Lonchura striata: one gene and its partners. The protein of the gene in region 3 purifies or fractionates together with the protein of the main gene of each other region. This does not show direct contact. Links are inferred from orthologs where the notes say so. Each region holds a gene or a part of one and is shown on either strand. Other genes may lie near its edges.

Region 1 (11,067 bases), on a different chromosome or scaffold from region 3:
TTTATGTTTTTTTCTGACTAGGACAGCCCTAAGGAGTAGAAATTTATTATACCACAATCCCCTCCCATGATAAGACACCTCTCTTTCTGATATAAAGGCTGTTCTTAATAACTGGCTTTAACTGGCCACTAAATGCTAGCTTTTATTATTTATCACACACAAAAAAACTTCCTTTGTGTTACAGATCTGAAGTCAAGACAGTAACTAACACATTACTAAGATACTGTAATTTTCAGATAATTAGCCTCTTAACTGTTTAGTCCATCTAAATCAGATTTATTACCCAGTTACAAAATACAAAGTGAAAAGTCTTTCATCCCTAATTTGTTAGCATTTAAAAATCAAAATAGAACACTACAGGCATGTCTAGACATATCCACAATTCAACTACCCAAGTTTACTCATTAAGAGCATAAACAAAGCAAGCACCTTTTCCACAGCATTAAAATATGATATGCTTAAATTCTTTTGCATCCTCTTTCTGACCAGAAAGATTTTTACATGTATACATGTGTATAATAAAAGTTTTTACTGTTTAACTACATGCATGAGGACATGTGGGGAAAAAATCCTCCAAGCATGAAAATGCAAAGCTGATTAGGGCATCAGGGAACTGGTAACACATGGTCAAATTTTCATGACCATAAAAAAGCAACCCAGTTTGCTGGCCAAACTGGCAGCAGCGTCAAGTCAGATACAAACTGGCCTTCTGCACAAGTTCCTTATTATCTCTGTACCACACAGCAATATTCTGGGGTTTTGTGTATAAAACCACACCCTAATATTTCCTAAAGCACTCCAAACTTACTGAGGGTAGAAGACCCTTGAAAGAATACCATCCCCAGCTATTTGTATGCAGGTAACAGTTCTAACAAGCGTCACAGATCTGCCTCTCCTGAAGAGCAAGATGTGTAACATGTAAGGAGATGCTTAAGGTAAAATATTCCATGCAATACCTATTTCTAACAGGGCAAAAGCAATGCATGCAGGAAGTACTACATTTATGAGCTATAATCTCAAAATGAGACTTTAAATAAATAGATAAGACTGCTGGATGGGGAAGTCGGCTTAGAAGAAAAGAAAAATGAAAAATTACTCAACCAAGTTCTCCAAGACAAAAAAAAGAAACCACAATTTAAACAAAACTGTAATTGGTCAGAGCCAAATTGACTAATGCTGTTAGCCCAAGAACAAAAAGTATTATTTTCATGAACAACAAGTTAATAAAAGAGGCAACACTGACAGACAATGAGGTTCAGCTGGAATAGGAAAGATGCATCTTCACTCAAAAGATTTTTTATCAAGTTTTGTAACCAAAACTAAATACAACCCATGACAGTTTATGGCTATCATCCATCTTAGCCAGCTTGTAAACCCATGGTTCTGTGGTCTTTATTTCACCTTTATAACCTATGGTTCATTTAGCACTAATCAAGCAGAACAACCTTACCCTCCACCTACTTGGAAAAAGGCATTAAAAAAATCCCAGAAGAGCCTCAAGGATGAGTACCTTGAGGTGTAGAACAAGACAAAATAACCAAGGGAAGTTTATCCAGTTAATAAGTCCTAAATCTAAATGAAGGGTTAACTCCAGATGCAAACACAAGTCTTGTCCCAGCTTGGGTATAAATACAGTTATGTACTGCATAGAGAAGAACAGCAAGCTCCACAGCACATTTTTCAGTCCCTGCCAAAACTAGTGGAAAGGGTTTCTATACTCCAATTTAAAAAATATTAGTACGTCACATTCATGTAGAACAACAAAATCAAAAATCAAGTTCATTTAACAGATAAAACCAATTTATTTTACAAATATGGTGTTTGTAAAATGCATAAATTGTAAAAATACAAAATCAAATTAATAATGGAAATCACTTTCTTCCTAAAGCATTTTTAACTGTCATCTTAACACATCCACATAATTCTGTATTATCCATTTAAGCTGTCAGCTTCAAATCAGGAACAGCACTTTGTTAATAAAAGTTTCTACACACCTTTTCTCAATGATGTCAGAATTAAGAGGCAGTAACTAATACAACTCTCTTTCACATATGACAGAAGGAAATGCCAAAGTGCAGAGGCATCAATCTCTCACAATTTTACAAAAGTAAAACTTTTATATTGTCTCCAGACTTACTCAGTTCAACAATATTACTTTAAATAAAAAGTCACAGAAATTAAATCTGGAAAATAACAAACAGCAATTTTTGGGGGTGTGTGCCACAGTCAAAAACACAGAAGAAAACCCCCTAAAACAAACAAACAAAACCCCCAAATTTAAGCTGATGGAAAAAGGGCAGTAGCCTCTTCTCACCTTTCTGCCCTGTATTTTGCAAGATTTATGAACTGAAACAACAAACTGCAGAAATGCAAACCCACAAGGGAAGCAACTGGAGTGAATACAGAGAAAAAGCAAAAGGGTTCCCTGCCTGCTGGATTAAGCTAAACTAAATTATCACAAGACTCTCTTCATTTGTAACACCATGGTTATATAGAATATCAACAGTAATGACTACCTGAGACCTAAGTAGACCAGGACCGTGTGAGTGAAACAGATCATCCCCATCACTTTTGTTCCAGCACTATCTCTTACAGCACATAACTATTCTACTCTGAGCCCTTCTGCACACATGAATTTACACAAACACTACCAGATTCAAGTGAGGGTTTTTTCTCTGAAAAATCTCCTTTGTTTTCAGTTTTATTTAGAATTGATTAAACCAAATTCAAGTTATCATAGAACCTCAAAAATGTACTCTTCTGCTGAATGGTGTCTGCCCTAGGGTTCATTCCTGTTTAAATTCATACAGTGGGTCTTCAACTGTAAGGGAGAAACCTTCACATACAGACAAAATAAGAGCAAATCAGTGCTTTTCATCATCTCCTTTTAGTATGGCACTCTTTCTGAGTACACCTTTATGAGATTATTAATACTCAGAATTACTGTATTAATCGATGTCTGAAGAAATAGTCTTCTAAAAAAGCTACAAGTTGCTGAGAAAGTTACATATTCCCTATGAATTCCAAAGCCATTGCTTATTTCCCAGTTCTCTGTAGGGCAAGCTGGCATACAGCCGGGCCCCGTAAGTTCCTGAAAGTGCAGTTGTTCCCGGTTATTTATGCTCTAGGGTAGGAACAAAGCAATTTGGGGCAACTCAACCTGGAGAAGTGCAGCACTCGCTAACAGGACAGATGGCATGCAAAACTCATACAACCATCGCGTTTAGGTAGGAAAGCTGGCACACGGCTGTGTGGTAAAGATGAGGGAAAAACACAAACAAAACACCAAAAATCCACAACAAAACCAAAAAAACCAAACACACCTAGAAAAAAAGAGGACTACTTATAATCCAGAGAAGTTTCATATTTCATCTATATTGCCTCAACAAAATATGAACTCACCCTCTAAAAAAGGCTTGTGTCACTTTTTAGAATGGAATAACAAGCAAGAAAAACAAAAAAGGAAATACAAAAAGCTGGATACTCTCTCCAGTGCTGCAGAATAAAGCCGCACTAGTTCCGCCTCCCCCGCAAAGCGCGGCCGAGGAACAGACACCGCTCGGCGGCTTTTCGATTCATCTACGAACAATGGCAGCGCTTCCCCTGCGCCCCGGCGGGAAGGGGCCGCTCTCCCCGCCGCATCCGGGAGGGCCCCGCCCGCCAAGCCGGCGCGGAAGAGCCCTCCGGAGCGGCCCTGAGAAAGAAAGGCAGAGAGGGAGGAAGGCTGGCAGAAACGGAACAGCGAGGAAAGGAAAGAAGGAAGGCGCTCGCCCCCGGCGCGCCCAGCCCGCCGGCACAGCCGCCCCTCAGCGCCGGGCGCGCTCCCCGCCCGGCCGGGCCGCCGCCGGCACCCGCGGCCCGGGCGGGGGGCCGCGCCCGCCCGGCCCCGCGCGGGCCCGCGCCCGGCGGCGGCGGGAGCGCCCGAACAATGGCGGCGCTGCGGCCGCCGCGCTGAGGGCCCTGCAGGCGGCGCGGCCGCGAAGGCGGGCGAGGGAGGGGAGCGCAGAGGGGAGCGCAGCGGAGAGGCCGCGCCCGCCGGCCGCGCGTACCTGGTTGAACTCCTCGCCCACATCGGCGTAGATGTCGATGTGGTCCACGCCGTCCGCCATGGTCCCGCCCGGGGCCGCCGCCAGCCGCGCCCGGCTCCCGAGCCGCCGCCGGGAGGGGGAGGGAGCGGGGAGGCGGAGCGGGCCGTCACTTCCGCGGCGGCGCGGCGGGGCTTCCGCCGGCGGCGGCGCCGGGCCGCTCCTCCCGCCCCGCCCCGCCCCGCCCCGCCCCGCCCCGGGCGCTCCCCGCCCGGCGGGGCCGCGTTGCTGCTGCCGCGTCCGGCCCGGCCCTGCTCCGCGCTGCTGGGCTCGGCGGGGCTGCGCCGGCCGCACCGTGCCGGGCGGTGAGGTCGGTGTCGGTGTCGGTGTCGGCGCTGCGGGGCGCAGGCCGGTGTGCCGCTCCGCCGCGCTCCGGGAAGGGAGCTCCAGCGCAGTCACAGCGCCTTGGTGCTCAGCAGCCGAGGCCTGTGGCTGTCGGCTGAAAATGAGCACCGCGCTGCGCCTTCAAAGCAGGGGCGCGCCGGGCTCCGGAGCGCAGTGAAATGTGCGGCAAGGACACAAAACAGGCACACGCCGAACTGCATTTAGCCACGGCTCTGCTGTGCTGCCGCAGAGCACTCTTTTTTAACGTCACAAAGTGAAGATAATTAATGTCAAGTCAATCGGGGTTCTTTCTTTCGGTGTTGTTTGTTTTTGTTGTGCATTTTGAACTGTTAGGGTTGCAGGACAGCTTCAAATTAATTTTGAATGAATGTTCTGTTACCCAGATCCATGTTTAAACTCCAGGTGATTTTTAGAAACATCTCCTGGTATATGAAGCGCAGTGCACATAATGCTCTACATAATAGGTTATGTTCTGCTTTGTACATTGTGTTCCACATCCAAAAATAAACCTGCTTTTTTTACTTTATCAAAAGCTGACAATAAGAAGCCTGTGCATCTCAGACTGAATTAAAATAATGTAAAAACATCACTGCAATGAATAAAAATGTTATTTTTAGCATGACTCAAGTTTTCTTGTTTCATGACTGGAAATACTTCACAGTGTTTGGATTGGCATCCAAAGTACTGACTTCATCTTGGGTCCTGGACCTGTGTGCAGATCATCCCTGTCTAGCAATCCCACACTGAAGTGCCCATGGAAAAGAAATATGAATAGACAAAAAAATAGATAAAAAATCGGAGATCCAAAACAAGGCATATGTTGTGGAGCGCACCTGCTGACAGTCTAGATAGATTTCAGATATGGAGATGCTTGGGTTATTCCTGGTGTCGTTATCCAACTGGTGAAATGATAAATTTGTCAGCTGCAGATCCTGTGTCATTCCTGCTGTTAATTCTGGAAGACGGAAAAGGGTTAAAGGGTTTTTATTGAAGTTTCCAGGTTAAATGAACTAGCAGATTGTGAGCCCTTTGGTAAAACAAAAACAAAAAAACAAAACAAAACAAAACAAAAAAACATCAAAAAAACCCCAAACATTTTAGAGGTGGTAGTTAGGAACATACAAACAAGGGATCTTAATTGAACTTCTAGTGTTGGTTACAATTGTGATTTACACTACTACATTTATCACAGGTTAAAAGTACATGTTCACATCTATGAATGCACAAATTACTGGTGAATGAAATGATTGACTGGTTTTGCAAAGAGAATCCACTTTTCTGGATTTCTCACAGTCCATACAGATGCTGTTAAAGTATTGAGATCTGTTTGGGTTCACTTACTTCCCTAATGGTGAACTGATTTAGTAACTAGTCTTCTAGAGAGTAAAGTGAAGCGCTGTGACAGTCACCACTTCTGGCCATGCTAAATAAAGCTGCTGAAATCAAGACAACCTAAGCCTTGCTATCCTAATGATCAGATTAAAAAATAACAGCAGATAGTAGGTCATATGCAATTGAATGTTTTATATTCATCTGAGTATTATCCATAGGTAGTTTAAAAAGGCAAGATAATAAAATATGAATGAAAGTCATCAGAACCACCTCAGGGATTACCACTAGCATTTGAACGATCTCGTGTGGGGCCTTTGAAGAGGCAGGAAAAAACATCAGCCTCTGCTTTGCTTGTTGTGATAATGAAGTGAAGCCCTTGGACCCCCATATGCTGTTTCATGCTCAGGAGTTTTTTCCACTTTGGAGCCCTTTTTAATAGTTTGACTTGCTAGATTTACTGTGCACAGTCATTTACAGAATAGATTATGATAATTGTTATTCTTGTATGCATATTACTAAGTAAATTCTGTAGGCAATGTAGGAGACTAAATATTATGCAAGCTGTTCTGTTCCATTTTTGTTGTGTTTTCATTCTTTCCATGGATAGACTTGCTAAATACGTCTTCCTCTTTCTTGTGGTCATCAATAGCTTCTTTGTGAATTACTGTGCCTCAAGGGAGCAACTTCAGGGTTGGTCTACTCCAGTGAAAATATTAATGCTTTATGTATTGTACACATTTAAATTATTTAAACAAAATGTTCCATCCTTCACCCAGTAAAATTCAGGAGGCTGGCTGAGGTGAAGCAGGGCTTGAAACAGAAATGTGATCATTAGATAAAGAATTCTTGGCAGTACAACATGGTCTTGGCGAAGTGTCCTCATAAGTTTTGTTGGGGACAGCAGGAGCCACTACGCATGAAGTAATCACAAACCTTTCAAACACTTAGCCCACCATGGGAACAAATGGCAGCAGATGAACTGGTGTCTTCCTTCAGTTCTTCTTTCACACCGTGGGATGTTCTGTCATTTGATGATGGCAGCTGGAACTCCCTTAATAGCAAAAGAAGGTGGGAAAGGCACTGTAGCAGTTCTACAAAGGAAGGTAGCCTTCAAGTCCCTCTTTCTCATGGATACACAAAAGCCTATTTACTTGTATATCGTTCCTTTGGTCTCTTGAGCTGTTAATGATGCAAATTCGGATATAATCCTCATTTTGAACATAAAAGCAGCAGTTGGTTCTCTGAGGATCTTGTAACATACATCTTGTTAGCCAACAGAACTCCCCATACCTTCCTCTTCAAAGCATTTCAGACCATTTTCTATTAGGATGTTCCTGCTGCAAGACAAAGGGGAGGAGAGCTATTTTACCAGCCCTTTGTATTGTATGTGATTATCTCAAAAATACTTAAATATATTACTTTAGTTAAGAATGGGAGAACCAGTTTCAATATAATAATGCTTTTAAACATTAACCTATTTTTGCCAGTATCAACATGGCAAAAATATATATTTATATTTCGAAAAATAATTTTATGTAGAATTTGCCTGAGGAATCAAGACTGAGAATAGTGCAGGATTTTTCAAATGGACTTTTATTTCAATATCAGCATAAACTGTTCTTGTAACATTTGCAAAAAGCTAATCATAAAATATGCATTTTTCACAATGCAGTAATGTTGTAGGCAACAAAGTGAAAAGATAAGCTATGAAAAAGTGCTGTGTTAATCAGGATAGTACTCAAAATCAGAGGAGACCTCAGCTTAGTTAAGGAGTGCAGTGTATGTTTTGTTATATAAACTTATGTCCTAGCTATGTCAGTCCAATTGCAATGACTGTTTTGTTTCTTTACTTGTAGACCTGAAGGCTTTGATCTTTCCAAATCCTCTTGGAGCCACTCTGCATGCCCTTTTATTGTTTTTCTCCCAGTAAAATATCCAAATAGTGAAAGCCTGTACACTAAGCTGTAAGAAATAGTTTTTTCCACTTAAATGCCTTAGTTTATAAAAGTCCACAGACAAAAATGTGAGAAAAAAAAAATATATTCTAAATGAGATGGCAAATAGGCTCAATTCTGCATATTTGCTTTCAGAGGCCAAAATTTCAGGTTTTGTTAACTCTCGTGTAACTGCAGGCTGAAATGAAAAGAGACAATTGTGTTCCCAACAAAGGTAGCAACAGCCTGTGCTGGGAAAGAGGGAATATTACCTCATCTTTTGGTTGCAGCTCACAGTTAGATTGGATTAAGTGTAATATAAAACTGCATCCAAAGGGCATCTACAAGAACTCCTACTGACAGAGCTATTGTAGGAAAATAGCTGGCATTATTCATCGCTTGCTCAGAGTTGTCTTTTTATAGGTATTCAATTGTTTTGGGATCATACATGTGAGCATTGTGCTCCATCTTTTTTCCCCTCTATAAGTGCCTGTCAGTCTACTGATTATCTTGGTTCAGCTGTTCACTCTGTGGTTCAGAGCCAGGTTGAAAATGGTGGTTAATCAGGATATGATTTGCAAATAGTATGCATCTTCTAACCCTCAAGGCAGGAAAGTGTATTAGAGAAGGTAAGTATAGTGCAAAAGGTGATAATAAATTCAATTGCCTCATTTGAATCCACTTTCATATGAGCTGCTAATCAGAGAGCTCAGTTACCTTCAGAAAAAGTATGAAATTGAATTTCCAGCTTAATATTACATCCTATTTTTGATAGCTTTGCATTCCCTTGTTTAAAAACCTGTCTCTAAAATTTCATTTTTACCCTTAAGACTGTCATTAATCTATTTTTTCCTTTTTTCAACTCCTCTTCTAAATTGATTAAAACCTCCTAAACTTGTTAACTGCATTAAACACATCTTTCTCTGTATTGGCTATATGCACATACAAATAAAGGAACAGCACCACAAAGACCACTTTAGGATGCTCTTTGATATTTCAAAGAATTTAAGCTCAAGGATAACTTTGTTACATAGTTTCTGTGTACTTCTGATACCACGAGTCACTCTGAATTTGGATAAAATCTTCACTTCACTTAGTGCTTTGAGCACAGGCTGGCTGGCACAAGTCTGCACTCCAGGCTCCCTCTTTGTCAAGCTGAGCTATTTAGAGTTCCAGAGAAGAGAAGCCTCCTCCATAATATTCAGGTTTGGTATTTTTTAAACTTGAACACTTCCAGATTTCAGGAGAGGTAGTATCTATCATTACTTTGCTATAAATAAGCCGAATGAGTCTGGAACTGGAAAGCAATGTATCTTACTCAAAGAGCAGGCCAACATTCTCACTCTGGCCCTGATCCACATCTCTGCAGGACTGCTGAGCGATGTTCACGTGAGCACTTCACAAGGGTCAGAAGGGACATGCCCGTCCCCTCTGTGAGCTCCTCACTTCTGCTGTAGGGATGGGACTGCAGGTCCAACCCCTATCCCACTGCTGGGATTGCACCAGAAAAGCTGAGTGTCTCATTTGTGTCACCAAGATTTTGAGGAGAGACTGTCCCATTTGTACCACTGACCTTTTTTTTACCACTGCTGGGGTACAGCAAGGAGGTGCAGCAGGATGGGCTGTGCCAGGTGCCTTTGCAGAAGTGCTATAGGGATCAGGGATCACTCTCATCTGCAGCTTTCATCGGGACCATCCTGCTGCAGAGACAGCAGAGAAGAACAAATGGTCGGGTTTTCCTTCCAACAATGCCTAAGAGTGCCAGGGACATGAAGCTGCACAGATAGCAAGGGGGTTTGGTCTTGAGGATACTGCAGAATAAATAATCATTGTAAGTCCCATGGCAGCTTCTTTCTGCTCTACAAATCAGGAGCTCACCCTGGAGGAGAAGCTATCAACTGCTGGCCTCCCCATAAAACAATTATGTGTGCACTGATTGCATTGTTACAGGACAGGTGTTTAGATTTAAACACCACAAAGGGAAGTAAATAAGCAGAATATGAATCTATGAAAGCCATGTGCACTGTTGAGCTGATACCACCAGGCTTACTGTCAGAATACTTGTATGTCATACAGCAGAGTTATGGTTTCCCAAGCCATTCTCAAGGCCTGCTTCAGCATTGTTTTCATGGGTCTGAATAGGACATCCTTTTGCTATTAACAGCTTAGTGGCAGAAAAGTATTCCTTACTCTCAACAAGGTTAATTCTTTAGGAATTTTAAGGGTATCTTAGGAATAAAAAATGTGCATATATAATAATTAACTTCTGGCATAGAAGGTCTCATTCTGAATTAGCCCAAATTAATTTTGAGTTACAGAAAATACACAAAATATTCATAAATACTTAGCATTTTCCCAACATTTTAAATATGAATTTATTATATAATTTACAAGTATTATGATTTAATCATTAACTCTCTCTCTGTAAGTTAGGTAAGAGTACCATGATATTTATTTTAATCAAAAGGAGACATTTGAGCTCAAATTTCCAAAAGCACCCACTGAATTTGTGAGAATTGGACATCTAGAGTGTCAGTCATTGCAGTATCAGCAGTAGTCAGGAAACACTGGTGAAGTTTAGCATCTTTTTATACTTGAGTTGCTCAAAATGAATGGACATTTTAAAAAATATTGATTTTCTCTCCCTGCAGGTGTGAGGTCACAACATATCATTACTAAAGAAAAACAAACTAGAAAATTTCAGAATTAGTGGAACAACACCTCAATCAATGAAAACAATCACAACAAAAATGCAGTTTGACTAATTTAAAATGCAGGTAACTAAATATAAACTCCTGGTTTGTGCCTGGAATCCATTTGGGATAACTGAAGAGGAGCAAACTAGAAGAACAGTTGGGAATCTATTAGAAGAAAGATCTCATCCTAATATTAATCTGATACTTTACTGCAAGAGAAAAAAACAGTACCTATAATTGGAATTTTGTTTTATATGTTTGTCTTTATTACTTTTCTTTATTTTGAAGTAGAAATATATATTTTTATTATGACCTGAGCACATATATATTAGGAGAAATGGAGAATTTCACAGACAAAAATAAAGAAATTGTATCTGAGTTTCAGGTAGGAGTTATGTCTCTGTCATACATTTTGCATTTAATTAAAATCAGACATGAAAGGATAAAAAAAAAGAAAGAGAAAAAAAGCAAGACATATCAGAAAATGTGGGGTTTAGTCAGATATAAAATGGCTCTAATGGTAGTTTCTATGGCAACTAAAAATGAATGGTTCTTAAGATAAACTCAGTATTTTTTTTAGCAGAGGCAGTAAGGTTGCTGTCTACTACCACACACCCCAAATAATATTCTCTGCCCCAAGGCTGGACATGTAAAGATTCAATATCACCCCCATAT
Region 2 (10,227 bases), on a different chromosome or scaffold from region 3:
AAGCCAAGAAGTACAGCCCTGGTGAGGAGTTCTGAGGAGGAACAGGGCCAAGATTTGGGTCTGGGTTTGCAGAAGTTACTGGAGGCCGTAAGTGCTGCTGGAAGAGGATTTCAGACACCCTCCATGCTGTTTAAATTAACGACCCAGGTTTGGGGTGTGGGGTTTGGTGGTGTTTTTGTGAGGTTTTTTTGAGTATCAGCCATGAGGGGTTAAAAATCTGTCAAATGCCACTTCTCTTCAGGGACACAGCATGGGATGGTTCACTGTGCTTCACAGCGCTGAACCAAGTGAGCTCTGAGCTGGATTTGAATGGCAAACCCTGGGAATTCTTACTGCTAATCAATCCTCTGTGCTTTCCAAAGCTGTGCCTTGCTCAGGCAGTGGCTGAGGTGATGCTTTTCCATGCCCAGAAACTGGCCTGGAAGTGCTGGCAGTGCAGCAGGTGTCCAAGGCCCAGGCCTGGCAGCGCACGGGCAGAGCTGGGAGGCAGGAGAGCGGGATCTGCTACCGGCTCTACACAGAGGAGGACTTTGAGAAGTTTGAGGAAATGACAACACCTGAGATACAGAGGTGAGGACAGAGCCATCACACCCCTTGCCACACCTCTTTTACAGCTGGAGCTGTGGGAAGAACTGTGCAGCAAAACTGGATCTAGAGGCTGGTGGGGTGACTTGAGAAAAATGGAAGTGTGGGGACTAGACAGAAAAACTGGGAAATGTTTGCTCAGGGTGGGCAGTTGGGCACTGAGTCTCCAAACACCTAAAGCAATAGTTCTGACTGTCCTCCAGAGTTTGGACTTGCCTCTTCCTGGTTTAGGAAGTAAGGCTTCACCAGCAGCATCAGACTTGTCTCTGTCAAGCTGCAGCACAGACCTGAGATTCTATCTCAGCTTCTACAAAAAAAAGAATAAAATAAGAGAACTGTCTCAGTTGTTTATTCTGCCTATGCAGGTGTAACCTGGCTAGTGTGGTGCTTCAGCTCCTGGCCCTGAAAATTCCCAATGTGCTCACCTTTGACTTCATGTCCAAACCATCTCCTGGTAAGTGGCTACAAAGGAAGCCTTGGGGAAAAGAGCAGGGACATAAGGTGTCATAACAACACAACATAAAGGTGTGCCCTGACTGCCAGGGGAAGAGTAAATGGGGTGCTTGTTCTCTTGGGATAGAGGAGGATAAACTACATTTCTCTAAATGGAAAATACTTGTCCCTCTGGCCAGAGGAGGGAGGCAGTGATGGAACCAGCTGATCTTCACATCCCTCAGTGGGAGGCAGGAGGCCTCACAGTCCTTGTTTTGACAGATGCTATTCAAGCAGCAATTGATCAGCTGGACCTGCTGGGGGCTGTGACCCACAAGGAAGGTCAGCTTGTCCTGACCCCCTTGGGAAAGAAAATGGCAGTCTTTCCACTGGATCCAAAGTTCTCCAAGGTAAAAACTGAAAAAAAAAAACAAAAAAAACCAACCAAACAAAAACAAAACTTTTTAAATCTCATATATTCATCTCTGTACCATTGATGTTTCTCTTTCAAACTCCTTAAACAAGGTGTGAAATTTGGGGTGTTTGCAGTTCTACTGGTATATTTGCTGTACATTAATGTACATAATTTACAGCCCTTTTGCTGGCTTGCTTGTCATTTGTTGTTAAATTTAGGGAAGTTTTTTAAAAGAGACTTTCTTTACTCTGGCACCTCTGAAGGTGAACAAGACAAATTTGTGTGCAATTTTCAGGATTGTTTGGCAGGTCCATGAAATGTCTGTTGCTGTAGCTGGTTTTTCACTGTGTTTGTGCTGGTTGTGCACTGGTCAGTCTCAGGAAGGAGCCTGGCAGGTGTTAAAGGTGCTTGGTGAACCCATCAGAGGATTTACAGCTGTTCTTAGGCTCAGTTTATGAGATTGCCCTAAACAATGTTTGGTGGAGTTCCTGGACTGCCAGGGAGCAGAAAGATCTGCCCAGCTGAAGAGGATTTGGTCAGCCAAAGATGAATTTTGTTGTGTCTGCGCAGGCCATCCTCCTGTCACCCAAGTTCCACTGTGCAGAGGAGATCCTGACCATCGTGTCACTGTTATCAGTGGACAGTGTCCTCCACAACCCCCCTGCCCAGCGGGATGAGGTGCAGGCTGCCAGGAGGAAATTCATCTCCAGTGAGGGGGATCATCTGACCCTGCTCAACGTGTACAGGGCCTACAAGAATGTCAATGGGCACAAGGTGGGATGATCTGAGCTGCCTGAGCTCATGGGGTGAGGGGATTTTGGCAGAGAGCAGAGTTGACACCTGCATCTTCCATGGCTGGTGCCACAGGCATCCATCCTCCAAAGCAGAGAGAAAAGAGGGCCCATCCTTTACAACTGGGATTGGAGGAAGTTCAGTAACAAAGGTTCCTACAGAAAGCTCTGGCAAAGCTTTGTGGGGCCAGTTCTGTAATCACAGCCAGGGCTCTTCCTTTCCTGGTTCCAGCTGGAAACAGAAGGGAGTGGGAGAGTGTTGAGATTTGATGATACATATCTGGACATGTTCTGGGACAGGATTCATTGGGAAAACTTTGAGCATATTTAAAAGTAGATTTGGGTTTATCCTACTCATCAACCCCTCACTGATTTGTGAATCTGTGGACTCATGTACCCCATTCCTTGCAACATCTGACATTCTTACCTGATTTATTTTCATCACCTGCAGGATAACAAGGGCTGTTTTGCAGCTCTTGGTGGCCTTGCTGAGCAGCTCTGAGAGGGAAAAGAACCACCACCTGCTGTTTCTGAGAAGAGTGGGAGGGAATCTAGACATAGTGGAGTAAAGGGAGGTAGAAATATGACCAGGAAGGGGGTCAGCACGTTTTCTCCGAGGCAGATTGTAGAGGGGATTCTGCTTTTTGTAGTATCTAAAGGCTGTCATGCTCCTGAGGTGAAGAAATATCCCCTTCTAACTCCTGGTGTCTCTGCTGCAGGGATGGTGCAGAGAGAACTTTATCAATGGCAGGAACATGAAGCTGATGGCAGAAGTCAGAGCTCAGCTCAGGGACATTTGTATAAAGGTAACTTGCTTCCATATTTCTCTGTTTCACCTGTTGGTATTTTCCTGTTTGTCCCCAAACTTATGTTACTGTGCACCAAGTCCCAAAGAGTGAGAAAATGGGGGATTGTTTTCAGTCTCCTGTAAATAGCTGGCTAAAATTCCTGACTGTGCAGTTGCATTCTAAAATCTTAAAGCTGCAGGGCTTAGTGGGTCAAGGAGAAATGAGAACTTTTAAGAAGACTTCTCAGGGAAGGACCAAGTTTTCCTAAGGGTTTTTCCTGCTCTAGTGCAGGTGGCACTGTGCTGTCTGTGCCACAGAGTGCTGGCAGCCTGTTCTGGCTGGCTTCTCCATGGAGTCAGGCATTCAGTGTGGCAGCAGCTTCCCCTCAGTGCTGTTCCTGCTGGGCACAGCGTGGGAGCTGCCACTGAACCCCTGGCAGTCTGCAGTGACATGGGGTCTTGTGGGGTGTCATTTGTGAATGCTGGTCTGTGGCATTCCCATTCTCTGGACAGAGAGACACAATTCTGTCTCTCAGGAGAAGCACAGAGAGAAGAGAAAACAATCTTTATCTCCGCTCCTTTAATTTTCCCCACGTGGAATGTGGTGTGGAGATTGTTTATCTGAAGTGATTGCTGGGTTGGATTCTGGTGAAGGTTGTTCAGGGCCAGTGACCAGTGGATCCAGCTGTGGCTTGGGCTCTCAGCACAGAGTCACGAGTTTGTTTGTTTGTTAGTTAATAGGGAAGTAAGAACTAAGTATGTAGAATAGTGTAGTATCTTTTTAAATAGTATATTAATGTAATATAATATAGTCTTAATAAAGCAGGTCCTTCAGCCTTCTGATCTGGAGCCAGACATCATAATTTCTTCCCGTTGGGGGTTACCTGATTTCCTATAGCTGGTCAGCCTTACACTCACTTCCAGCAGGAGAGTGACGATCCATTTTGTTGGCCCTTAGTCTGGCTTAGCCTAGCATCCCCCCAAGCTGAATTCCTTAGTCCCCCAGCGTGCTCTCCCAGGAGAATCCCCCAGTCTTTCTGCAGTGGAGCAGGGCTGTGCCCCTCGAGGCTGCCCCGGCTCACTCCCGTCTCTCCCAGCTGTCGATGCCCCTCGAGTCGTGCCGCGGCGACACGGGCAGCGTGCGGCGCTGCCTGGCCCACGGGCTGTTCATGAACGCGGCCGAGCTGCGGCCGGACGGCTCCTACGGCACGGTGGACTCGCAGCAGGCGGTGGCCATCCACCCCTCCTCGGTGCTGTTCCAGGCCAAGCCGGCCTGCGTGGTGTACACCGGGCTGCTGCGCACCAGCAGGTGCTACATGCGCGACCTGTGCGTGGTGGACGCCGAGTGGCTGCACGAGGCCGCGCCCGAGTACTTCCGCAGGAAGCTCCGCATGGCCAACAACTGACCCTGGGACCAGCTGGCTTTTTCAGCTCCGCCTTGAAAGACTTATTTTTCTAAAAATTTAATGGATAGATGTATAACCGTGTTTTTTATAACCTCAAGGAACGGGATGGGTATTTATTTACATTATGTGTTTTTTCCAGAATAAAGAAGTGATGGTGAAAATCCCAATCCTGGGTGTTGTTTTGTGAGGCACAGAACAAATGATCATAGGAACAGTCCTGGTGTTTATGGTTCTCATGGGAGTGTGTTCGTTGTCAGCAGTCTGGGCTTGAAGATGTGAAGGTAGCACAGTGAATCTGTGCTTCTTGTGCAGAATGGACTCTGCCATTTACATGTGCAGTGCTCAGATTCCTGTGGGGAATTGGGAATTAAAATTCTGGTCCTTTGATGGGGTGGGACAGATGCTTTCCTTCTCCTGCCTTGCAATGAGCAGCAAATGAGCCTTCTGTGCTTCTCAATAGCGGGCACTAGTGCCAGCTTCTGACAAAGGGAAGACTTGGAGCCAGAAAACACTGCCTTAGTCACTGTTTCCTCTAAAATACTCTTTCATTTTTCTTGTTCTGAGGAGACTGCCATGCTCTGGCCTGTACACTAGCAGTCATAATTAGGAGTGGGAGGATGTCTGGGATAAAACTCGTGCATGTCTCCCACATTCCTAAAACTCTCATTGTGCCTTCACTCCTGTCTGGGTGCTGTCTGTGCCATCCCTGGTCATTCCATTGTCAGGGATCCCAGGAACCAGGTCCGCCGTTGGCACACTCCATCCTGCCAGGACCGGGACTCGAACCCGGGGTCTCACCGTGCTGGGAGTCGAACTCAGGATCTCAGCGGGACCGGGACTCGAACCCGGGATCTCACCGGAACCGGGATTCGGACCCGGGGGTCTCATTGGGGCCGGGACACGAACCCGGGGGGTCTCACCAGGACCGGGACTCGAACCCGGTGTTTCATCGGGGCCGGGACTCGAACCCGGTGTCTCACCAGGACCGGGACTCGAACCGGGTGTCTCACCGGGACCGGGACTCGAGCGCGGTACCTCATCGGGGCCGGGACTCGAACACGGTTCCTGATCGGGGCCGGGACTCGAACCCGGTGTCTCACCGGGGCCGGGACTCGAACCCGGTGTCTCATCGGGGCCGGGACTCGAATCCGGTGTCTCATCGGGACCGGGACTCGAACCCGGTACCTCATCGGGGCCGGGACTCGAACACGGTTCCTGATCGGGACCGGGACTCGAACCCGGTGTCTCACCGGGGCCGGGACTTGAACCCGGGAGTTTCACCGGGACCGGGGCTCGAACCTGGTTCCTCACCGGGACCGGGACTCGAACCCGGTCTCAAGGGGCCGGGACTCGGGCCCCCCTACCGGCCGAGCCGGGACTCGAACCCGTGGCTCGGGAGCCGCGCGGGGCGCGCCGGGGCCGGAAGCGGAGCGCGGTTCCGGGGCGGGCACTCCTCGCCGCCCGCTCCGCACGATGCTCCTCGCCCGCTCCCTGCGCGCCGCCGCCGCCGCCGCGCTGCGCCCGCCGCGGCCCGCGCCGCGCCGCCCGCTCAGCTCCGCGTTCCCCCGCGCCCTGCTGCCGCCGCCCGCCGCCGCGCCGGCCCCGGCGCGCTCGCTGTGGCAGCTGGGCGGCGGCGCGGGGCGGACGGCGCTGCTGCGGCCGCGGCGGGGCTCGGCCGGCCGCGTGTCCTGCGGCTGCGGCGGTCTGCACACCGAGGGTGAGCGGGGCCGGAGCGGGGAGGGCGCGGGGCGGACACGTGCGCTGCACCCCCTCCGAACTGGGAAGCACGTGGGGCGGCGGGGGCTTTCCCGACAGCCCTAAGACAGCTCCACCTTTCCCTAATCCCCGTTCTCACTAAACCACCTGTTTCCCTAAATTCCGGCATCGCCTAAGCCCCCTTTTCCTCTACATCCCCTTCTCTACCTCCTCTTTCCCTACTCCCCCTTCCCTAACCTCCTTTTTCGCAACTCCCTTTTCCCCAAACCCCCTTTCCCTAACTCCTTTTTTCGTTCAGACCCCCATTTTTCCAACCCCCCTTTTCCTACTCGCCCTTCCCTTAACTCCACTCCCCTTTTCCTTAACCCTCCTTTTTTTAACTCCCCTCTTCCCTTACCCTCCCTTTCCCTAGTCCCCCTTTTTCCTAGCCCCCTTTTCCTAACCCTGTTTTCCAACACCTCTTTTACCAACACCCCTTTCCCTCAACTCACCCCCCACCCCATTCCTTCATTCCCCCTCTCCATAACCCTCCCTTTCCCTAACCTCATTTTCTTTCCCACCAGGAGACAAAGCCTTTGCGCAGTTCCTGACGGACGAGATCAAGGAGGAGAAGAAGATCCAGAAGCACAAATCCCTGCCCAAGGTCTCCGGGGGCTGGGAGCTGGAGGTCCATGGCACAGAGGCCAAGCTGGTGCGGAAGATCGCGGGGGAGAAGTGAGTGGGGTCTGGGAAGGGTCCCCAGCACCCGAGGGCGGGTGGGTGACAGTGACCAGGCTTCTCCTTCTGCTCACTCCCCAAACTGTGCCCTGCAAACGCTCTTGGTTTGACCACTTTGGGCCAAAGGCGCTTTTCCCACACCGGTTTGTTACTGTGTTTTGTGTTACAAAGTTTCTCACGGGCTTCCCGTTTTAGAAATAACAGTTCAGTAAAACTTGAAAAAGTGAGAGCGCTTGGAGGGAGCAGCTTCTCCCAGGTGTGACTTTTAACTGCAATGCCTGGTTTTGTTCACACTGCGAATTCTGAATGAGGGCTTGAGAGACCCATTCTGATGGGCGTTTCTTGGGTGTGTTCAAAAGAATTGTGTCTGTTTCTTTTGCAGGATAACGGTTACATTCAACATCAATAACAGCATCCCACCCTCGGCTGAAGAAGACACACAGGAACAGCAGAAGCCTGATGAGCAGGAGGTAACGTAGCCTTGATGTGCTTTAAATGCTGGGGACACAGACCAAAGTTGGAATCTTGCCTTAGGGAACTTGGAATCTTGTCCTCGAGTGTTGAGGCTTATGTGATGTTTGGGAGCATTAAAGCACAAAATGCAGATTTTCCAGGGCTGCCTGTCCCCTGCCTGACCTCCCTCTCCCCTGCAGAAAGGCAGAGCAGGATGGGAGGGCTCTGTGAGGGGAAGTTAGAGGAATTGTGAGGCTTTCTAGCACCTTCCACTATCAAAAAGGTCTGGAGGAGAGTGGGAGAGGGAAACTTTGTACAAGGGAATGGAATGACAGGTTATGGGGGGATGGCTTTTAAGTGATAGGGAGTGGGGCTAAATTGGGTATTGGGAGAGATTGTTCCCTGTGAGGGTGGTGAGGTTGTGTCTGCTCCATCCCTGGAAGTGTCCTGGATTAGGTTGGATAGGCTTGGATCCACCTGGGATAGTGGAAGGTGTCAGGGAATACAGAACAGGGCTGTGCTGTGATTGCTTTGGCTCCTGTTCAGATTCAAGTGCTGATGCAACTGTTTTCTTATTTAGCCTGAACTTACATCAACTCCAAATTTTGTTGTGGAAGTAATAAAAGATGATACAAAACAGACCCTTGTGCTTGACTGCCATTTCCCTGAAGATGAGGTGAGTGCCCCTGTTGGATTTAACTGCTCTTTGTAATCTCTTGCTTTTCTGAATCAGCACAATATGCAGTCTCCTCTTATTTCTTTTTTCTCTTAATCACAAAAAAAAAAAAAAAGGTTTTAAGTTTGCAAGAATAGTGGGGAGGAAATGTTTATGGCATTCTTCACATCCTGCCCTGGTGTTTCTGATCAGCCCTTATTGGGCTCTTTATTGAATTACAGTAGAGAAGTAGGGATTAAAAAAAAGGAGGGAAGAAAATAAAATCGAGAGCTTTTGCTCACACTGGTATTTGTGGTTTATTTTGTAAACATTAGGAGATGTTTAACAGTCCTGGCTGTTAAAGGTGAGATGGACATGGGAAGACTCGGAAGAAGTTTTTATATATTTTTAAACCTCGAGCTGCTGATTTAAATCAGGTCCCTTCTGGCAGCACAAGCTTAGAGGTTTTCCTGAGTTCTGTGCATATCTGTGCTTGTCCTCACAGGCACATGGTGAGAGGGGAAAGCTTGTCTGGCCTTGGGACTTTTCCTGAGGGATTCCCAGCCTGGGGATGAGCTGGCTGAGCTCATTAGTGCCCAGTAATTGCAGCTAATTGCATTTGTTTTCCTGCCTCAGATTGGAAATGAAGGAGAGGAAGAAAGTGATATTTTCACAATTCGGGAGGTCAGCTTCCAGCCCACTGGAGAAGCTGACTGGAAGGACACCAACTACACCCTCAACACGGATTCCCTTGACTGGGTAGGTGCTGCTAAAGGCCACAGAGGGCACTCAGCTCACCCCACCTGGCTGTCCTCTGCTCCTGGGTTGGGAATTAAACCTGTCTGGATGTCTGAGACAGGGACTGGCCCTGCTCTGCCCCTGAGCTGGTGATTCTGCTGCAGCCTGAGGTGTTTCCTGGTCCCAGGGTTGTGCACTGCTGCTGGCGTTACCAGGAATCAGGACAGACAGGAGGAACTCCTTCCCTTCCAGATTTTATAGGTGGATTTCCCAGCAGGGAATCACGATCTGGAAATGCTTTGACACTTGTCTTTTGATCTGTGTGTTTAACAATGTGGCTTATCAGACACCATGTGTAGATAAAAGCATCTGTGTGTGGTGTCTGAAAAAATACATTGTGTCTTGGTTTTCCAGGTGTGTTGATAGAGTTGTAACACTAAAAATACACAGTAGAATCTGTCTGTTCTTATGTTCTCAATGCCAGGATTTAAAAAGCTACAATTTTTAGTTTGAGGCTGTCACGTGTTTAAAACTGAAAGTAGAAATAAGTCCTAGAGTGTATCCCCTTGAGAAGCATCCATGTTAAAATTGCTTAGTGTGCTGCAGACCATCCCACACTGATTATTCTTTTTTTCCCGTGTCTTAAGATATTAAATTAATTTAAAATGTGTATGAAAGGAAAAAGCCAAGCTCATGACTGTAACACTGAAGCCTTCCAAACAAACTTGTACATCAGATACCTTTACAAAGCATTAGTTCACCCCGGGGTAGAGGGGACAGGCAGAGCTTGGCCTGTGTCATCCTTGGCACAGCTCCCCTGATGGCTCCCACAATCTGGGGATCATCTCCAGGGTGCAGCTCATTTGCAGTTGGGTTTGGGTTTTTATTTTGTGTTCCATGGCCCTTTCTGTCCAAATGTTCCACCCAAGGTCAGGCCTGCCCTCTGTGGTGGTGCCTTAGAGGCTGCCTAGAACAGAGGCTAGACAGTGTTAAAGGAATAAAATAGGGATTTATTAAAAGGCCTTAAAGGATACACCTTGGGCAGGACAAGAGCCCAGCCAGGGCTGCACCCTAGATGGGTGATGAGTCAGGAGTTTTCACACTTTTATAAGTTTTAGTCCATTTTCATATTGGGGTTCATTGTCCAATTCTCCTGGTGATGCAGTCCCAAATTGCTCTCCCAGATTGCTCTTCTCAATTCCCTGTTGTTTGCACTTTTTGGGCCTGAAGCTGCAATGGTGTCCTTGGTTCTCAGGCTGGAAAAGGATTGTTCTGTCTGACTGAACTGTGAGGAGAACTTGCTAACACTCCTGAAGTTCAGAGTCACACACTAATGCAGTACAGAATCTGGAAAATGCGAAAGGCATCAGTGGGAGCTGGGCCTGATTTTCCTGGGAGGAAGTGCCAGTTTCCAGGGGACATTTTAATCCACCCCCTCCCCAGGTGTGTTCACTAAGGAAGGTTTCTGTTCCTTGCTCCAGGCTCTCTACGATCACCTGATGGATTTCCTGGCTGACCGAGGAGTGGACAAC
Region 3 (10,247 bases):
TGAAGAGAAATAATCAGCACTGCAGTGTGCCCTGAGAAGAGTTGTCAGACATCCAGATAGCCTGAACGGCATCACAGATACATTGTTTTCTATCAGGTAACCCAAGATAACCCCTGAAGTACAAAAAAAAAAAAAAAAAAAAAAAAAAAAGTCAGTAAAAAGGAAATTGAGAGTTGATTTGAGAGTTGAGCAGCCTTTGGGTCCTGTTTTCTGTTTCCCTTTTTGTTCATGTTAAATACAGCACATACAGGAGATGAAGGCTTGACATGTGCCTCCCTCCAAGACTCCCTTTAGGGTCTGGGATGTTTTGGGGAGCTTAGGAGGGAGGCAGAAATAATTCCCTGACACTTCTCATCACGTTCTTAATGAAACAAATTTAATGAAGTTTTAATACCAAAAAGGTGGACAAAACAAATCTGCTGAAATCTCCATTAGGCTTTTGGTATGTTCCTAAAACATCTCACTGCAGCTGCAGGTTTGAGAATTACAGCTTCTATGAGAGATTTTGATAGATGCAGATTCATTCACAGTGGTAATGCTAAATAAAAGCTGAAACACTTACTTTGCTTTCCAGTTTGGGTTACACTGCCTTTTATTATATTGGTGCCTTCTGTCAGACCATCAGCACTGCCTTGATAACAGGTTTCATTACAGGTCAGTACTGAAACATCCTTTGTTTCCTTTGAGCAAGTTTCTGTGGGTAAATCACTTGTGGAATAAATGGAAACATGAGTGCCAGGGACTCCTCCCAGCCAGAGCTGTTTTGCACGGAAATAACCCAGCAGCACCATTCTTTCAGTGCCGAAGTTTTATTTTAACCCAGGTTTAACAGCTGCCTTCAACCTGCAGACAGCAGAGGTGTGAAGATGAAAATACTTCCACTTTTGGGTGTTGTCTTATTGGCAGAAGATGCCCCAGTCTGGGTCTTGTCACTTTTTAGGCCATTTGGAGCAAATGTGCAAAGTTTCAGGAACATCAGGAGCTGCTTCAGCCCAGCTGCAGCCCTTTGATCAGGAGATTTTGGGATTTTGGGGACTTTTTGCTGCTTTGGGAGCAGCAGCACTCACATGGCTCCCATGGAATGCTCTGGTTTGTGGCAGCTGCTGCTTTTCCCCAGCCCCTAATTCTGTCTGGAGCAACAGAGAAATGGCCAATGAAAATTGCTGGGAAACACACCCTACAATGATTTTTTGAATGTTTGAATTTATTTAAACCTTTGCATTACTTAAGTGTAATGAAGGACGAATAGATCTTTAGAAAACATCCAGCTGAAATAACCAAACATTCAGTGTTTAACCAATTGTTCAAAAATCCAGAGATCCCAAACTAACAGTGCTGATAAACCAGATAAATAATACACAGGCACTTCTCATGCAAGAAATTAATAATTTTGATGTATTTTCATAATCTAGCAGCTGTTTGATGGGGTTTTACCTAAAGTAATTCATTTTTAGTATCCCAAGCCTTGATCCTGGCAAGCCTCTTTCTGTATTTAAGGCCAGCTTGGGTCAGGGGGGCTCTGCTGGAGGATTTGGGTCTGAATTTGTGTTTTGATCCATTACATTTGGATAAATGTTGCCAAGAAACTCCTATTACACAAAATCCTCCCCTTCCCTGGTGTTTATTTTGCATCTCTCTCTCTTTAACAACAGGTTTAATCTTAAACATCAAACTGCTGAAAGCAGTGCATGTCTCAAAGTACTTTGATGACCAGTTTTACTGGGAGGTGAGTTTCAAAATTATTTCAGATTCGCTGTGGGGGACTTCATTTAGCATCTTGATAAAGAACTCCAGATATTTGAATTAAAAATATGGGGAAATAAAGGGTTATTCCTTTTCCCAGCACATTTTGATGCACAGTCCTTGGGCACCCTTAGATGCTGATGTGAGGCTGTGAAAATAAGCTTTTAACCAGCTTTTCCACTGTTTTGAGGGGTTTTCCTGTGATGATTTGATATGTTCTGATACCAGAATGTTTGTGTTCACAGTTTCCCCACTTGTCTGTTGGATTTTGAGTGGAGGATTTCAGCTGACAGGACCAAGATAAGATTTTCCTCTTTATCACCAGAAAAACTGAACAGCTATGATGAGTTCAAAGAGCACTGAAATACCAATTCCCAGGCCCACAAAAGCCACCCCAATGGACACTCAAAAACTAAACTGTTCCAGTTATTCTTGAAAGATAGAGTGTGAATTCACAGATGCAAACTTCAGCTTTTCTGCTTTGTTTGCCTTACCTTAAAATACTTTTTTAGAAGACATGCACAAAAAAGTTGTCTGCATTCGTGGCTTATCAACCCAAGTGCTTGGAAACATTAAACTATTTTTAGCTCCAGAGTTTACAAAGCAAAATGATGGATTTGAAAGTGTCATTTCTCAAGGAGTTCTTCTTATCTAGCAAGGTACTCAGGTTTTTAAAAAAGCTGAAGTGATTCTGCTGAAGGCCTTGACAGGCCAGGATTTGATGAGTGAGCTGGAGCAGAGCCAGAACTCTGCATCCTGCCAGCCTGAGCTCCTGGAAAAATCTGGCTGGGGCTGGATGTTGGGAGGTTCTGGTGGCAAAAGTTCAGCTGTGGGTGGTGTTCCTGGAACCCCTGAGGTTTGCTGCCAAGTGTAAAACACAAACTGAGCTCAGGGCAGTGTCTGGCCCAGCACAGGGGATGGCCCTCAGTGCTGCCAGCATTTTGGAAGTGCAGGGACTCTGGGGACAGAGGATTCTCTGCTAGTGAACCCTTTTTTTAAGTGGATTGTGATCCTCAGTGTCTCTTACTTTCAAAACCAGCTGACACAGAAAACTTTGCAGCAGTAAAAGATTGCAAACGTGGCTGTTTCTCTTCCTTCAGCAGCCTGGGAGGAATGAATGGGGGAGCTCGTGACCGAGTGCTTTGCTGAGGCTCCCTGGCCTCATTCACTCCCTGCTGAGCAGATCCCTGCAGCTGCAGAGGGAGGCAGCTCCCAAGGAATGCAGGCCTGCAGAGGAAGGGCCAGTTTGCCTCGTTCCCAGCTCCCAGAGAGCCAGCAGTTCAGCAGCTGCCCAAACCTTCTGCACAAACTGTGAGTTTACTTCCCAGACACTTCCTCTTCATCACCACAGGATAAATGAAATGTTCAGGGAAGAAAAATCCCAAACCACCACAATTCTGAATTACACAAGAAAAGCCAGACACCAGCAAGTTTTGAAATTGAATAAATGGTTATATTGCCCAGATATAGGAAATATTTAATAAATATCTGTTAAAAGGTTGCTTAAATGCAGTTTTAGTAAGTCTTGGATTGTAAATAACATCATAGAAAGAGCTGGTTAAATACATCCATATTCCACTTTCCTTTTATTTGTAGCAAACATCATTTTAGAAAAGTGACTCCACTGTTGTTTGTAGCAATTTTACATTTCTCAAAAACACCACAACACTGAAGTGGACGTACAAGAGTAAAAAAAATAACCGGAATAGAGCTGGATTTAGTGCTTTCAGCTTTCCTTGATTTCTCTTCAGACACAATGGAAGGTTTACAAAATGGTTTTACAAAACTTTGGGGGATGCAGTTAAAGCCCAGGGCACTCCAGGGGGGTTCACTGCCACAAATCCTCTGTGCGGCCGAACTTGAACACCAGGCCCCTGTGGAAACACAGCAAAGGGACACCACAAATCAAATTCCTCTTGTTTAAAAATAGGGTTTCAAGAGGGATTTGTTAATCCAGTTCCTGTGCAGGCAGATCCCAGGTTATTCACACAGGTCTGCTTACAAAACAGGACTTTAGGACCAACCAGATCACAGCAAGTTTCAGGTTTTTTATCATTAAAATTAAATAGGAAACAAATAAAAGAGGACAGTCTTACCCAAAAAAGATGAATGCATTCTGGAAAAACACTGCTATTCCTGGGTACACCACTGGTTTTTCTGAGAAAAAAAAAATCCCCATAAAACTTTTTAAAGTAATTTTCAAGCATATCCCGTTTCTGACATGTCATTTCCCCTTGTGCTAATTTAGCAGAGAGGCTTTGGGAGCAATCTGCAGGATTGCAATGTAATTTGTATTCTGGGAATAACTGTTCACCCAGGGAATTATTCCCTTAGAACTGCAGCAGCTTAATTATATCCATGGAGTTCCCAGCTGGGCAAGAGCTGGTTTTGTAGAGGAAGTTTGTACTTAGATCAAATCCACCCCAATATCTGTAATAATATGGCAGAGTGGTGAGTAGGGCAAAATGTTCAAACTGGGCCTGCCTAGAAACCCTCTAAATACCAACTCTAAAATCCAGGAGTCATTAAAAACACCTTAAACATCCAACAATAGGGTCAGCTCTTACCTTTAACCACGTAGCCCCCAAAAAGGATCCACATGGAGGCAATGAGGGACCCAAAAGCCATCATGAAGCCGATGAAGAGCCAGATCCGAGCCCCTGCAATGGGATGGGGGATGTCCTGTACCCTTGGGGCACCCGGCCCCACACACCCCACACACCCCACAGACCCCAAAACAGGGGTGTGAGCCCAGCCCTGGTACCTGTCTGGCCCAGGCAGCCCTCGCTGTAGCTGTCCCCTCGCACCTGCCCGTTGGACACGGCGTTGATCCTGGGGAAAAGGGGACAGGAGGGGCTTTAAAGGGGACAGGAGGGGCACTAAAGGGGACAGAAGTGGCATTAAAGCTCTCCTCTGCACTCTCACTGCTCTGCTGGGAGCGGGGCAGGGAATTCCTTACATCAGGAAGGCGATGGTGGCGATCACCCCACAGGCGTGGTAGGAATGGTTGAAGTCTTCCACTTGAGGGTATTTCACAGCAGCATCGATGATGATCCACCAGCCTGTGAAAAACTAGAGTGGGGGGGGAAGAGCTTAAAATACAGAGCTTAAAATACAGACACAGCCTGTGAGATTGCTCTGGAAAAACACCATAAATATTTAAACAGCCGTACAGTCTCCAACCCAGACTAAACTGTGACACCATCAGTTTTGCTGTCAGTTTGGGATCAAGCTGACTGCAAAGCCAGGGGTTTGCCCACTCCAGCAGTTACTTCCTGGGTAAAACTGGGAAATTTAAACAAAAAACGGACGGAGGAAACCAGGCCAGGTTTTGTCAGCAACTCTGCTGCTACACACAGGGACAATGTATCCCTGTTCTTCCTTTCCCTGGAATTGCTGAGGAGGGAGTGGCCTCTAAAAGCATCCATTCCAACCCACCGTGGTCACTACTGAACCGTGTCCCCAAACGCCACATCCGCGTGTTTTTTAAACATTCCCAGGGCAGTGACTCCAGCATGCCTGGCCATTTCAGTGGAGAAATTCCCCCTTTTATCCAACCTAAACTCCCACTGGCACACCTTGAGGCCGTTCCCTCTCATGCTCCCACTTGGAGGAGAGCCTCCCAAACCGCTCATCGTTTTTATCTTGTGACAGAAAAGCCCCAAAGACCCCCAAAACCGCGAGCAGGGCGGGGCCGTACCAGCACCCCCGCGGCCACGGAGGCGATGGTGTTGCGCTTCTCGCCCCAGTCCACGCACTCGGAGCACCGCAGGCTCTCCAGGAACCCGGACATGGCTCTGCCTGCCGGCGACTGCGGGAGGAAACGGGAGCTCCGTCCGCGCGGGGAACCGCGGCAGCGCGGCGGGGACCCGGCGCTCCCCCGATCCGCGCACCGCACCCCGCTCCGCGCACCGCAGCCCGCTCCCGCACCCCCGCTCCGCGCACCGCAGCCCGCTCCCGCACCCCGCGATGAGCTCACCGCTCATCCCCCGCACCCCGGTCCCAGCACCCCGCGCATCTCTGGCACCCAGGTCCCTGCATCCCCCGCACCCCGCGCATCCCCCGCACCCCTGTCCCAGCACCCCGCGCATCCCCCGCACCCCTGTCCCAGCACCCCGCGCATCCCCCGCACCCCGGTCCCTGCACCCCGCGCATCTCCCGCACCCCCGATCCGCGCACCCCACCCCGCTCCCGCACCCCGCGAGGCGCTCACCGCGCATCCCCCGCACCCCTGTCCCAGCACCCCGCGCATCTCTGGCACCCCGATCCCTGCATCCCCCGCACCCCCCGCACCCCGGTCCCCGCACCCCGCGCACCCCCGCGCATCCCCCGCACCGTGCGCGCCCCCGGCCCCGCGCGCTCCCCGCGCGCTCCCCGCGCACCGTCACGGGACGCGGCGGCGGCGGCCGCGCGCATGCGCAGCGCGGGCGCGTCCCGAGGAGCGCCGGGGCGGGGCCGGCGCCCGGCGGGGGGGCGGGGCCGGCGCGTGCGCGGCGGGCGCGCGGGTTGCGTAACGGGAGGGACGTTCTGGAAGGTTCGGGGCCCGCCCTCAGTCGGCGGCGGGCGGCGGCGGCGGCGGCAGCAGCGGCTGTGTCGCGCTTCTATCGCGGTTCTGTCGGCGATCGCGGCCGGCGCAGCGGGCCCGGCGCTATGGGCGTGACTCACGAAGCGGGGCTCTCCCCTCAGGACCCGTGCGGGGGCAGCCCGGCGGGCTGGAGCCGGTGAGGCGGCGGGCCGGGGCGCGGCCGGGGCCGGGGGCAGAGGGCGGTGGCGCTGAGGGCTGCGGGGCGCTCACGGTGGGTTCTTACGGTTTTTATTTCCTCGCAGGAGCGCGCAGGTGCCGCAGGGGAACCAGCGCGGGGCGTGCCCGGCGGCGCCCAGCGGTGAGTGAGGGGCGCTGAGGGCTCGGCAGGCCCGGGGCTTCATTTCTCTGATTGTTGTCCCGGCTCCGTGACCTTGCTCCTGGCGAACAGATAAAACAGTGAAACTTCAGCTAGAGAAGCGCCTCTGACGACTCTCCCGCAACTTCAGTTTTAATCAGATTTCAGTGCGCGGGTTGGATTTGTTGCCGAGCTTCTCTTTGCGCCGAGCGCTAAATAGAAATTCCGTGTCCAAGCAAGCTGCCCTAAACTGGTTACGTAACTCTGGGCTTAAGTCTTGTGATAAGATCCCTACCCCGGGTAACCTTTGTAGCCATAAAATGGCTGCCACTCCAGGGACAGCCATTTTAATTATTAATTTAGAGACGTAAGTGCCGTGTCCTGTGCGAGTCACGGCCGCTGGATCATCTCCCGGCTTTTGCACGGAGCGTTTTTAGCAGCAGCTTGTTGAGTGCACTGCTGGATGTGTGCAGCTGTGTGCCGCGAGTTTGATAGCGAGATACAGGCAACATCTCAGCTGCCTTACAGTTACAAGGTAGTTTCGTTTTCCCTTTTGGAGTATCCAACGAGGAGGAATTGTAGCAAAAAACTTAATGTGTACTAGGCTGGAAAGTAAATGGTTATTTTCTATCATAAAAGCAATGGATCCTGTGTATTTAGGATGATAAAATACCTGGAAAATTCTTTTCAAGAATGTCAAGATTTTCCTGTTTTTTGGAGGGAAAAAAAGGTGTTGAGCAAGGAATTAAACTTAAAACCCACACAGACCTCTCTCCAAAATTCCATGCAGAACTACTCATGGTTTAAACTGAAAGTTTTATTTTTTCCCACAGCTTTGTGTTTCAGTTTTGTGGCTGACTGCAGGCGAGTGTTCAGTGTTAGTGGAAGATGGCTGGGGGTCGTTGGGGTGTTTCATTCCTTGTATTTCAGTTTTGTGGCTGACTTCAGGAGAGGGAATTGCAGTGTTCAGTGTCACTGGAAGATGGCCGGGGGTCGCTGGGGTGCTGGATTATCCCTGGCCTCACTCGCGGTTGTTGTTGCTGAGGAAGTGCCCGTGAACGCTGACCTTCCCTCTCCCCCCACAGGAACAGAGACGGGGCACTGCAGAGCGGCGGCTGAGGGCGCGCAGAAAGGGCAGACGGCCGCCGTGACCGAGTTCATGGACGACCTGAGCCTGGGCTCGCCGGGCCACGGCGACTCGTCCCGGCGCAGCTGCAGCCGCTCCTCGGGCCGCTCGTCGTGCAGCTCCCGCTCCAGCAGCAGCTCCTCCAGCCGCTCCTCGCGCAGCTGGAGCCGCTCCCGGTCCCGCTCCCGGTCCCGCTCCCGGCGGCACGGCTCCCGGCGCTCGCGGCGCCGCTCCCGCTCCTACTCGCGCAGCCGCTCGCGCTCCCGGCGCTACCGTGGCCGCTACCGGCCCCGGCGCTACCGGCCCCGCCGGCGCCGCTCCCGCTCCTGGTCCCGCGGCAGGGCCTGCTACCGGCGCTCCTACTCGCGCAGCCGCTCCCGCTCCCGGGGCCGCCGCTACTACGGCTTCGGGAGGAGCGTCTACCCCGAGGCCTACCGGGGCTGGAGGAGCCGCACGCGCTCGCGGAGCAGGTCGCCTCTGCACCTCAGTGAAAAAGGTACTTGGGGCTCTGCGAGAGCCCGCAGAGAGGCTTTGTTTGAGCCAGGCGGGTTCTCCTCGGCTTGCTTGGTTTGAAAAGCGCAAGTGAAAAAAACCTCGGTTTTTTAATAAAGATTGTTCTTCAGAACATTAATTGGCACAGGGGGGCAGGCTGTGATGAGATCGGTCCCAGATGATGAGTGCATGGATGTCAAACCTGCAGGATTTAGGCTTGAGTAGGTGCACGTGGATTTTAATGTGACGCAAAGCACTTTTTCTCTTCCTTCCTCTTCTAGACAAGAGGGAACTGCTGGAAATTGCAAAAGCCAATGCTGCCAAAGCTCTGGGAACAGACAACATTGTCTTGCCAGCGAGCCTGAAGATCTCTGCTCCTGCCAAGGAGATCAAAACTGAGAAGCAGGCGCGTGAGGAAGCCACGGAGTCAGCTGAGGTAAGTATGGAGTGTTCTCCCTGACAAGGTAAACACCTCTTAGACTTGTCTGCATGGCTGTGCTGTAGTTCAGCTGTGGAGCTTGTGCTTTATGAGCTCAAACTCCTGAACAAAAACTTGTCCAGAAACCTCGAGGCTTTGCCCTAAGCTGGCAGCAGAGGCCCTCTCTGAGGTGGCTGATCCCCTGAGTGTCCAGTAGGGACAGCTGGGGAAGGGGAGGAGACTTGTTCCTTTGACTTGTTCTCCTCATGGGATATTTCCCATGAATTCCACTAGTTTATGCCTTTCTGACCTAAAACCAGGAGTATCCTTGCCAAACCTAGTGAATAGTGTGGGATTATTTTTTTTAAGGTTAAATCTTTCTGCCTTTTTTAACTGTTAAAAGATTTTCATGTGCAACAAACTGTTTCCCAGAAATTCCATACCCAAGCACACAATGCATTTTACATACTTTATTTCTGTCTTATAGAAATCATGACTATGGTTCCAGACATGAGGAAGAAAATCTGGTGGTAATTAAGGGACTTGTGGGCTGTAGCTGCTGTGAATTGAAGGGAGGGAGAAACTGGAGCAGCTTAAAGTGAATTTTAGTTTGGTTCTGTCGTGGTGTGTTACCCTGAGGCACAGTAAATACAATACAGTAAATACAGGCAGCCACTGCCTGCCTCAGGTGCTGCTCGTGGAAAGGGACGTGAATTTGCTGAGGGTTTGACACAAACGGTGCAGGCATCCCTTTCATAAACATATGCAATATATTCCAGATGTTGAGAGAGTGCAGAAGAAGAGGCCTGCATCCCTTGCAGATAAGTTTACTGTTCTCCAAAGCCCTGCAGGATGGGTGTGCAGTGTCACCACTCTGCTGTGGCAGCTTCTGCTGTGACTTGGGTCCTCTCTGGGCTCTGCTGGGCTGGAGCTGCCTCCATTGGCACGGGAGCAGCTCGGCTGGCACTGGCACAGCTGCCCTGGGCAGAGGCTGCCAGCCCAGCCCGGGCTCTGCCCTGCCTGGGCTCTGCCCTGCCGTGCTGTGGCTTCACAGCCACTTCAGATGAAATAGGGAACAGTCCCAGAGAGCTCTGCTCTGACTCCTGCCCTGCCCCAGGGAGCCCCTCTTAAGCTGTGTCTGCTCTTCTTTAGCAACCCGGGAGTGCAGCTGAGGACGTGAGCAAGGCTGGCATGGAGAGAACAACCATCCAGAGGAGCATTTCCTTCAGCCCTAATGTGAGTGATGGAATCCCTGAGTAATGACAGGAATTTAATGTTTGCTCATGATATCCCTGCAGGAGTTGGTAGAGCACCTGGATACACCTCAGCAGTGTGTTGGAAATAAGTGTTCACCTTCAACCCGAACAATTCAAAACTAGAACTAGTTTAAAACACAGCTTATATCGAGTTTCATGTTTTAGTAATGCAAACTTAAGATTTGGGGATTTCTCCTGTGTTTTGTGCATGGGATTGATACCTAGTATAAGCATCACGAATTCCAGGAGCTGGAGAGAAAACATTTATATGATTTATATGATAAACCCCTTGTTTCCAGCACCTTTTCTTACAGGAAATGTCTTTTTTTTTC

The links.
Region 1: the proteins of RSRP1 (region 3) and CPSF6 purify together in Homo sapiens (affinity purification with mass spectrometry; 3 studies listed by BioGRID and IntAct, with this or other methods). This does not show direct contact. The link is inferred for Lonchura striata from reciprocal best matches to the Homo sapiens genes RSRP1 and CPSF6.
Region 2: the proteins of RSRP1 (region 3) and C1QBP purify together in Homo sapiens (affinity purification with mass spectrometry; 3 studies listed by BioGRID and IntAct, counting the BioPlex papers as one, with this or other methods). This does not show direct contact. The link is inferred for Lonchura striata from reciprocal best matches to the Homo sapiens genes RSRP1 and C1QBP.

Annotation. Positions count from the first base shown.
Region 1 is NC_134607.1:44,497,839-44,508,905, reverse strand, and holds the start of CPSF6 (cleavage and polyadenylation specificity factor subunit 6), read right to left. Parts: upstream 4,187-11,067; 5' UTR 4,110-4,186; coding exon 4,050-4,109; intron 1-4,049. UniProt on the Homo sapiens protein: Component of the cleavage factor Im (CFIm) complex that functions as an activator of the pre-mRNA 3'-end cleavage and polyadenylation processing required for the maturation of pre-mRNA into functional mRNAs.
Region 2 is NC_134622.1:4,782,535-4,792,761, forward strand, and holds the start of C1QBP (complement component 1 Q subcomponent-binding protein, mitochondrial), read left to right. Parts: upstream 1-5,889; coding exon 5,890-6,133; intron 6,134-6,695; coding exon 6,696-6,846; intron 6,847-7,231; coding exon 7,232-7,319; intron 7,320-7,882; coding exon 7,883-7,978; intron 7,979-8,593; coding exon 8,594-8,716; intron 8,717-10,176; coding exon 10,177-10,227.
Region 3 is NC_134628.1:590,314-600,560, forward strand, and holds the start of RSRP1 (arginine/serine-rich protein 1), read left to right. Parts: upstream 1-6,309; 5' UTR 6,310-6,393; coding exon 6,394-6,464; intron 6,465-6,570; coding exon 6,571-6,626; intron 6,627-7,708; coding exon 7,709-8,245; intron 8,246-8,522; coding exon 8,523-8,677; intron 8,678-9,811; coding exon 9,812-9,895; intron 9,896-10,247. Other genes in the region: RHCE (blood group Rh(CE) polypeptide), read left to right, coding at 575-654, 1,653-1,726, 1,989-2,015; TMEM50A (transmembrane protein 50A), read right to left, coding at 3,572-3,617, 3,840-3,900, 4,311-4,403, 4,508-4,575, 4,703-4,815, 5,444-5,536.